Linked DNA regions of Sus scrofa. The protein of the gene in region 1 purifies or fractionates together with the protein of each later gene. This does not show direct contact. Links are inferred from orthologs where the notes say so. Each region holds a gene or a part of one and is shown on either strand. Other genes may lie near its edges.

What was found.
Region 2: the proteins of ITGA4 (region 1) and ITGB1 purify together in Homo sapiens (co-immunoprecipitation; 4 studies listed by BioGRID and IntAct, with this or other methods). This does not show direct contact. The link is inferred for Sus scrofa from reciprocal best matches to the Homo sapiens genes ITGA4 and ITGB1.

What each region holds. Positions count from the first base shown.
Region 1 is NC_010457.5:86,969,389-86,973,215, forward strand, and holds part of ITGA4 (integrin alpha-4), read left to right. Parts: intron 1-566; coding exon 567-696; intron 697-2,050; coding exon 2,051-2,136; intron 2,137-2,954; coding exon 2,955-3,017; intron 3,018-3,109; coding exon 3,110-3,247; intron 3,248-3,827. UniProt on the Homo sapiens protein: Integrins alpha-4/beta-1 (VLA-4) and alpha-4/beta-7 are receptors for fibronectin. They recognize one or more domains within the alternatively spliced CS-1 and CS-5 regions of fibronectin. They are also receptors for VCAM1.
Region 2 is NC_010452.4:56,085,445-56,089,271, reverse strand, and holds part of ITGB1 (integrin beta-1), read left to right. Parts: intron 1-709; coding exon 710-942; intron 943-2,856; coding exon 2,857-3,107; 3' UTR 3,108-3,827.

The DNA.
Region 1 (3,827 bases):
CTGAAAGTTTTGTATTTCACCAGACAGGTATCTGCTTATTTCAATCATCCCTCTGTTTCCTTTTTTTGAATTTCTATGTTTATCATCAGTCATGCCCCAATAATATTTGACTTATTTTTTCCTAAGCTAACATTATTAAGGAAACTATTCATTGGCTTTTTGCAAATTGAAATAAATTATGTCCATTTTTTACTCTTTGGAAAAACGTGATAATCTCTGTAATGAGCACTAATGAATTACCCAGATACAATTTACTTTAATAGAAACCACATTGCCTTTCTCCCCAGAGCTTACTCTAGTGTTCAGTGGTTCTGCCTTTGATTTTAAAGTTCACCGTTAAGTATGAAGTGAATGTTCCTTTTCTGAAACTCTACTTGTAGGTGAAAATTCATTAACTAGTTTCTCTGGCTTTTTTTGATATATTTTTAATCTCATAAAATGCTTACATATCAGAAATTTATTTTAAAATACATTTTTGTCGCTAAGTACTTAGTGTATATCTGGAGGGGGTTTCGTATAGTGAAATCAAATGTTTAAATGATCATAAATTGCTTTTTATCTTACAGGATTTAATTGTGATGGGAGCCCCGGGATCATCTTATTGGACTGGCTCTCTTTTTGTCTACAATATAACTACAAATAAATACAAGGCTTTTTTAGACAGATACAACCAAGTGAAGTTTGGAAGTTATTTAGGTACTATAAAAAGTGACAAACTCAAATTGTTTCTGCCTTACAGATACTGGTAATTATAAAGAAGGAAAATCGTACCTTCAAAAGATCAAAATGGCCAATAGGAATTAAAGGGCCACTTCAAAAACTGCATCTTTAAGAATGTAATCTATGAAACTTTTAGTTAACTTAATATTTTATATATGTAACTGTTACCATCAATGTATAGTTAGATAAGAACTCCTGGTTTGGTTTACTCTTTGCCGTAAATCACTTGAAAGTCTGTATCTTTATACGGTCTACGTTTTATTGTAAAGGTAGTGTCTATTGAGTGCCTGCCATCTCCTAGGAACTTCTGTAAGCACTCTACATGAATTGATTCATTTAATCATGAATGAGTGAGTAAGTGTGGTTTCTTCAAGGACCCACTGAAAGTCAATGAGACTGCGGATGGCTTTCTAGACAATGGGTGACATTATGAAGAATATGTGTCTAAAAACAGCTCATTGACCTTTGCCTCATAAGTTCTTAGAATATTTCCCAGAGCATAACTATTTTTATCTATCTTCTTATTTAAGAAAGAATACTTATTTAAGATAGGATACTTTATAGTCTATGTTTCTACAGAAACCCAAGATTTTCTCTGGCATTATTTCCCTTGTTGTAGTATAAGGAATTCTTTTCCTAAGGTTTCTTTAAAAATACAGATTTGTTTAAATGATGTGTGCTTCAAATGTGAACAGCCTACACTCAGGAATAATTATAATAGAAAGCAGGATTTTTCCCCCATTTAAACAGAAGGAATTCATTTTCATACAGAGGGAACTAATTTACAAGTCAACATTTACTTGTTTATGGTTGAAGGATATCTTAAAGGATTACAAAAAATGTAACTTAGTATTATACCTTTGACCACATAATAAAATGAGAATATTTTACCTGTTGTGTTATCATACAATTTTATCATAATTGGGAAGGTTTCAGGGCAAGAAAAATTGAAGTTTAGGAAAAATATGGGTTTTTTTTTAACTTCAAGTTCAAAATGTTATATTTTAAATATGCTAAATTATTTCTGTTGTAATCCTAGAAGCTAGAATGTCCTGATACCACAGAGACTAACAAACCAAATGTAAAGGTGCTATCTTCAATTTCTAAGACTGAAAAATATAAGCCATGTGACTAGTTTCATGATGCACAATAACTGCTTAAGGCATATAATACATAACCAGTTTTGAATATTGCTATGCTAAATTTTCTTAAATCTCTGGTTTAGTGTAGTTATTTTGAATTTAGTCTTATTTAACTCTGAGTGGATTTATGATCGGGGTTTTACCCATTGCCAATGATGATTCTCATACTTTTCTACATTTTCTTGAAGGATACTCGGTTGGAGCAGGTCATTTTCGGAGTATGTACACTACTGAAGTAGTTGGAGGAGCCCCTCAACATGAACAGATTGGTAAAGTAAGAATTTCATTTTAGTATTTTATTTCTTCAAAAATGTTCAAATAGATCACATGAGAGAATAAGATATTAAAGGGCACCACAAAAATTCTAAGCATTCAAGCTGAAAATGATGAGCAATGTGCTGCTGTTAGAGGAAACTTAGTGAAAGTTGTATGGCTTTTAGATAAAATTGTGCAGAAAAGCTTTAAGGAAAATTATGGAAGTCAAATGATGCTCTTCTTTCTAATGAATAATTGTTTCTGAGATGATAGAATTTTCTCAAGATATCATAGGAATACACTTATTGGTTAATAACTTTATAGCTGAAGAGAAATCAAGGCAGCTACATTTGTGGTGTAGTAGTGTTAAGACTAGAAAGAATAAAATATTATTTCTCATTTAACTTTCATTACATTGTTGTGAATGTTAACTAAATTTTTCTGAGCCTTATTTTGAAAATTAAGGCAAACAACGTTTTCTGTGCTCTCTGTAATGGATCCGTGAGATTGTTCCTGAGAAGGTGGTTTTGCAAGGAAGGCATGTTAATGTGAAAGTGGATCCCTCGGCCTTTTGTATCACTCTGAAAAGGATTTTTTAAAAATATATTTAAGCAGGAAGTTCCCCTGCGGCACAGTAGGTTAAGGATCTAGCATTGCCAAAGCTGTGGTGTGGGTTCCATCCCTGGCCCAGAAACATCCACATGCCGTGGATGCAGCTAAAAAAAAATTAAAAAATAAAAAAAACCTGAGCAATTATGACAATTAATGTTTTGACTGAATGAAAAACTTTTAATGTGATAGTAGTGTAACCTTTCCTAATGCTTTTCCCTATTGCAGGCATACATTTTCAGCATTGATGCAAAAGAACTAAATATCTTACATGAAATGAAAGGTAAAAAGGTAATATGTCTCTACCTTTGGTTATCACTGAGGGCGTTGGTGAGTAACTCTGCTTTTTTCTCAATGACTGGATCTGGTTTGCCTTGGAGCAGCTTGGGTCTTATTTTGGAGCTTCTGTCTGTGCCGTGGACCTCAATGCAGATGGCTTTTCAGACCTACTGGTGGGCGCCCCCATGCAGAGCACCATCAGAGAGGAAGGAAGAGTGTTTGTGTACATCAACTCTGGCCTGGTAGGTCCGATTGCCTGCAAACTGGAAGCCATTTATGGGATTTTGATTACAACTGATGCTCTTCTTATTCCAGCAAGACTATAGATTTTTAGGCTTATTTTACCAATGAAAATTAAAGTTGTGATACTGTACTGATGCTCTAAAAATGAAATGGAACATGGTAGGGAAAGGGCCTCTGTCCTATTTTAATGTCTCAAAAGTATGAGATCAGGTGTCTGAAGTTTTTCTATTCACAGCTTGTGTTCACTCAAGTAGTAGAAGTGTCTTCCAGTTTTATTATGATGCAAATTTATAATTTGAAAGAATGATTTTTCTATAACCCTAAAAATGTGGGTGTCCTACTGGTTTGACAGTGAGTGTCCTTATATAATTTGGTAGTTATAAACACTACTGGAAGTAGATGATAAAGTATAAAATGTTTTTAATTTCTTGATTTGAAACAATTGGAAGCAAGAATTTTGATAAAATGTTTATTTGCACAGTTCTTACAGATTTTAATTCTTGATGTGAATGTAAAATTGACATTGTTTATTCCAAAGCAGATATAGTAGTTGTAGAAATATGTGTTTACTTGCTTATG
Region 2 (3,827 bases), on another chromosome or scaffold:
AGCAACACATTTAAAAAATTACTTTGGTTTTATATTGTATATTTAATATCTGATAGGGCTAGTTTTATTTTAGTACTCATTTCTTTTGGAGGATTTTGGTTTGCGTTATCTATAATTTCACCTGGGAAATTTGCATCTTTAAACTTTTTTTTTAATTACAGTATAGTTGATTTATAATGTGCCAGTTTCTGCTGTACAGCAAAGTGACTCAGTTATACATGCATTCTTTTTTTATATTCTCATCCATCACGGTCTATCCCAGGAGAATGGATATAGTTTCCTGTGCTGTACTCTCGGACTGGTTCTTTTCTTTTTTTTTTTTTTTTTTTTGTCTTAGTCCCGCACTTGGGGCATAAGGAAGTTCCCTGGCTAGGGGTCTCATCAGAGCTGCAGCTGCCAGCCTGCATCACAGCCACAGCACCAGATCCAAGCCATGTCTGTGATCTACACTACAGCTCACGGCGGTACCCGGTCCTTAACCCACCGAGCGGGGCCAGGGAGCCACAACGGGAACTCCGTGGACCTTGTTCTTTATGAAATTAGCATCTTTATGTTTAGTTTTTTACTAGAATTTGTGTGTTTCTTCATTTATTCAAATCTTCTGTCGTAGCTCTTGGTTTAATTTGTTCCTATTTTGAGTTTAGCACAGGAAAAGTAATCTTTAAGCAAATATTTTAAATAAGAAATATAATGATGTATGTTTTAACAGAGAATGTGTTCAGTGCCGAGCCTTCAATAAAGGAGAAAAGAAAGATACATGTGCCCAGGAATGTTCACATTTCAACATTACCAAGGTTGAAAATCGGGACAAATTGCCCCAGCCAGGCCAGGTCGATCCCTTGTCCCATTGTAAGGAGAAGGACGTTGATGATTGCTGGTTCTACTTCACATACTCGGTGAATGGGAACAATGAGGCCACTGTTCATGTTGTAGAGACTCCAGGTAAAAGTCATTTTCATTTATGTCTTTTTACTGCTTAGGGCAATTGGCAGTTTCCCTTGTATCTAGGAAAAGCTTTGAGCTGGACTATTTTAGGTTTATTTGGGACATTTCTAATCTCTTAAAGCTAAAATAGTATTAACTACATAAGAAATAAGGGAAAGAGCAAATTTTAAGTTTTATGATTAGAGAGATTAAAGAGTATATCAGCAGTCCACACAGAGCTCTCAGCACAGGGCCGGACGGCACGGGGCCGACTCAGTAAGAGTCAAGTCACTGTGAGTGATATATGTATATGTATATTTTTTAGGGCTGCACCCGTGGCATATGGAGGTTCCCAAGCTAGGGGTCGAATTGGAGCTGCAGTTGCCAGCCTACCCAACAGCCACAGCAACACTGGATCCCAGCTGTGTCTGTGACCTACACCATAGCTCACAGCAACCCAGGATCCTTAACCCACTGAGAGAGGCCAAGGATTGAACCCTCGTCCTCATGGATGCTAGTTGGGTTCATAACCTGCTGAGCCACAATGGGGAACTCCTATGAATGATATTTAAATATACTTGATTTAGAAGGGGACACTGGGAAACTTATTTTGTCACAGGATATTATAGAGCATGGCTTTGTTCAGCTTCTCAGAAGATGAAACATTTTTTATCTTGTTTTTCCAGATGATTTTTAAATATTCTTTGCAATTTTCTACATTTGTGTTCAGGTTTTTATGGGAATATAAGTTTTAATTTCTCTTGGATAAATATTCAGAATGGATTTTGGGGACATATATTTAACTTTGGAAGAAAGAGCCAAACTTTTAAAGTCTGTATTTTGCATTTTCAGATATTTTGCAAATATTGTCTTCTGGTCTATGCATCCTTCTTTTCATTGTCTTAAGTGTTTTTTTGAATATCTGAAGCTTAAATTTTGACGAATCACATTTGCCAAGTTTTTCTTTTTTAGATTCTGCTTTTTTAACTAAGACCTCTTGGTGTATTTCAAGTTCATAAGGATTTTTTCCTTTGTTTTCTCCTAAAAGTTTTATGGTTTCTGGTTTATTTGAGCTGATCTTGCTTGGCATATGGGGTGATGTTCAGTTTTTTTGTGCATGGATAGCTGGTCATTCTTACACCATTTCTTGAAAAGATTGACCCTTCTCTACTGTGGTTGAAAATCAGATGACCTTGTATGTGTGGGCCTGTTTCTGACTCATGATTCTGTTCCGTTAATCCATGCATCTGTCTTAGAGTCAATACAACACGATTTAAATTACTGTTGCTTCAAATCCAGTTGTGAAATTTGGTAATGTGAGTTATCCAACTTTGTTCTTTTCCAAAAGTGTTTTTAAAAGACTTTTCTAGTTCTCCTCCTCCTTTGTGAATTTTAGAATTAACTTGCTTGACATCTGTACACATCCTGCCAGGATTTTGATTGGGATAGCATTGAGTTTATAGATCACATTGGGGGAGAAGTGACATCTTAACAATATTGAATCTTCTAATATAGAACATGGAATCTCTCCCCATTTATTCAGGCCTTCGATCTCTTTCATCAGTGTTTAGTAATTTTCAGCATGTAAATCTTACACATTTTTTGTTAGAATTTTACATTGGTATTTCATGATTTTGATGCTATTGTAGAAAATACTGTTTTCTCATTTTCAATTTCTGATATAAAGAAATCAGTTTCTGTTATAAAATACATAGGACTTTTCTTTATTGGTCATGTCTCCTGTTGTCTTGTGAACTCATCTGTGAACTTTTAGTGTCTTTTTTATAGATTCTGTGGGATAGTGTCCATTGACTTATCTTGGATTTTAATTCCTTAGTGTTTTTTATGAGACTCTTCAGCTCTCTGTAATGTGGGCTGTACTTCACACATACCAACCCCTTGTGTGCTCATCGTCTGCTGCTTATTTTACAGAGTGTCCCACTGGTCCAGACATTATTCCAATTGTAGCTGGTGTGGTTGCTGGAATTGTTCTCATTGGCCTTGCACTGCTGCTCATTTGGAAGCTTTTAATGATTATTCACGACAGAAGGGAATTTGCCAAATTTGAAAAGGAAAAAATGAATGCCAAATGGGACACGGTGAGTTGGAAGACATCTAAAAAGGAATATAACTCTTCTAAGACATGTTTAGTAATTCTCAAGCTGATTATTAAAGTCCTTTAAATATTTTATTCCCCCAAGACTTTACTCAGAAAATTTGCATTTAGCCAAAACCAGAAAACACCCTAAATAACGTCACATTAAAACAAAACAATGTTTATTCTGGTTACTATGGTTAATATTTTTATTTCTATAATAGTTTTGTCTTTTTTCTTTTTTAGGGCCACACCTGCAACATGTGGAGGTTCCCAGGCTGGGGGTATAATTGGAGCTGTAGCCACCGGCCAGAGCCACAGCAACACCAGATCCGAGCCGCATCTGCAACCTACAACACAGTTCACGGCAACGCCAGATCCTTAACCCACCGAGTGAGGACAGGGATCAAACCCACAACCTCATCGTTCCTAGTTGGATTCTTTTCATCTGCGCCACCACGGGAACTCCTATTTCTGTAATAGTTTTGATCTTAAATCTGAACTTCTGACTTTTCTTATGAAAGATATAATCCTCAATAATGTTATATGTGTAGCAATAGAAGGTTTCTTCTTGCTTTCTTTATTTTTTCAACAAAGAACCTTGAATGGAAAGCAGCCAGACTCAAAGGGCTGCTGTACGATTTATATGAGTGTTGAAGAGGCACAACTATAGGGGCAGAGATGAGATCAGTGGTTTCTAAGGCCTGGAGTTGGGGATCTAGGGATGGTCTCCACTGTGGGTGTGTTTTTACATTTGAGAATTCATGGACCTGTGTAGTTCAGGGTATTTTTACTCTGCAAATTACAA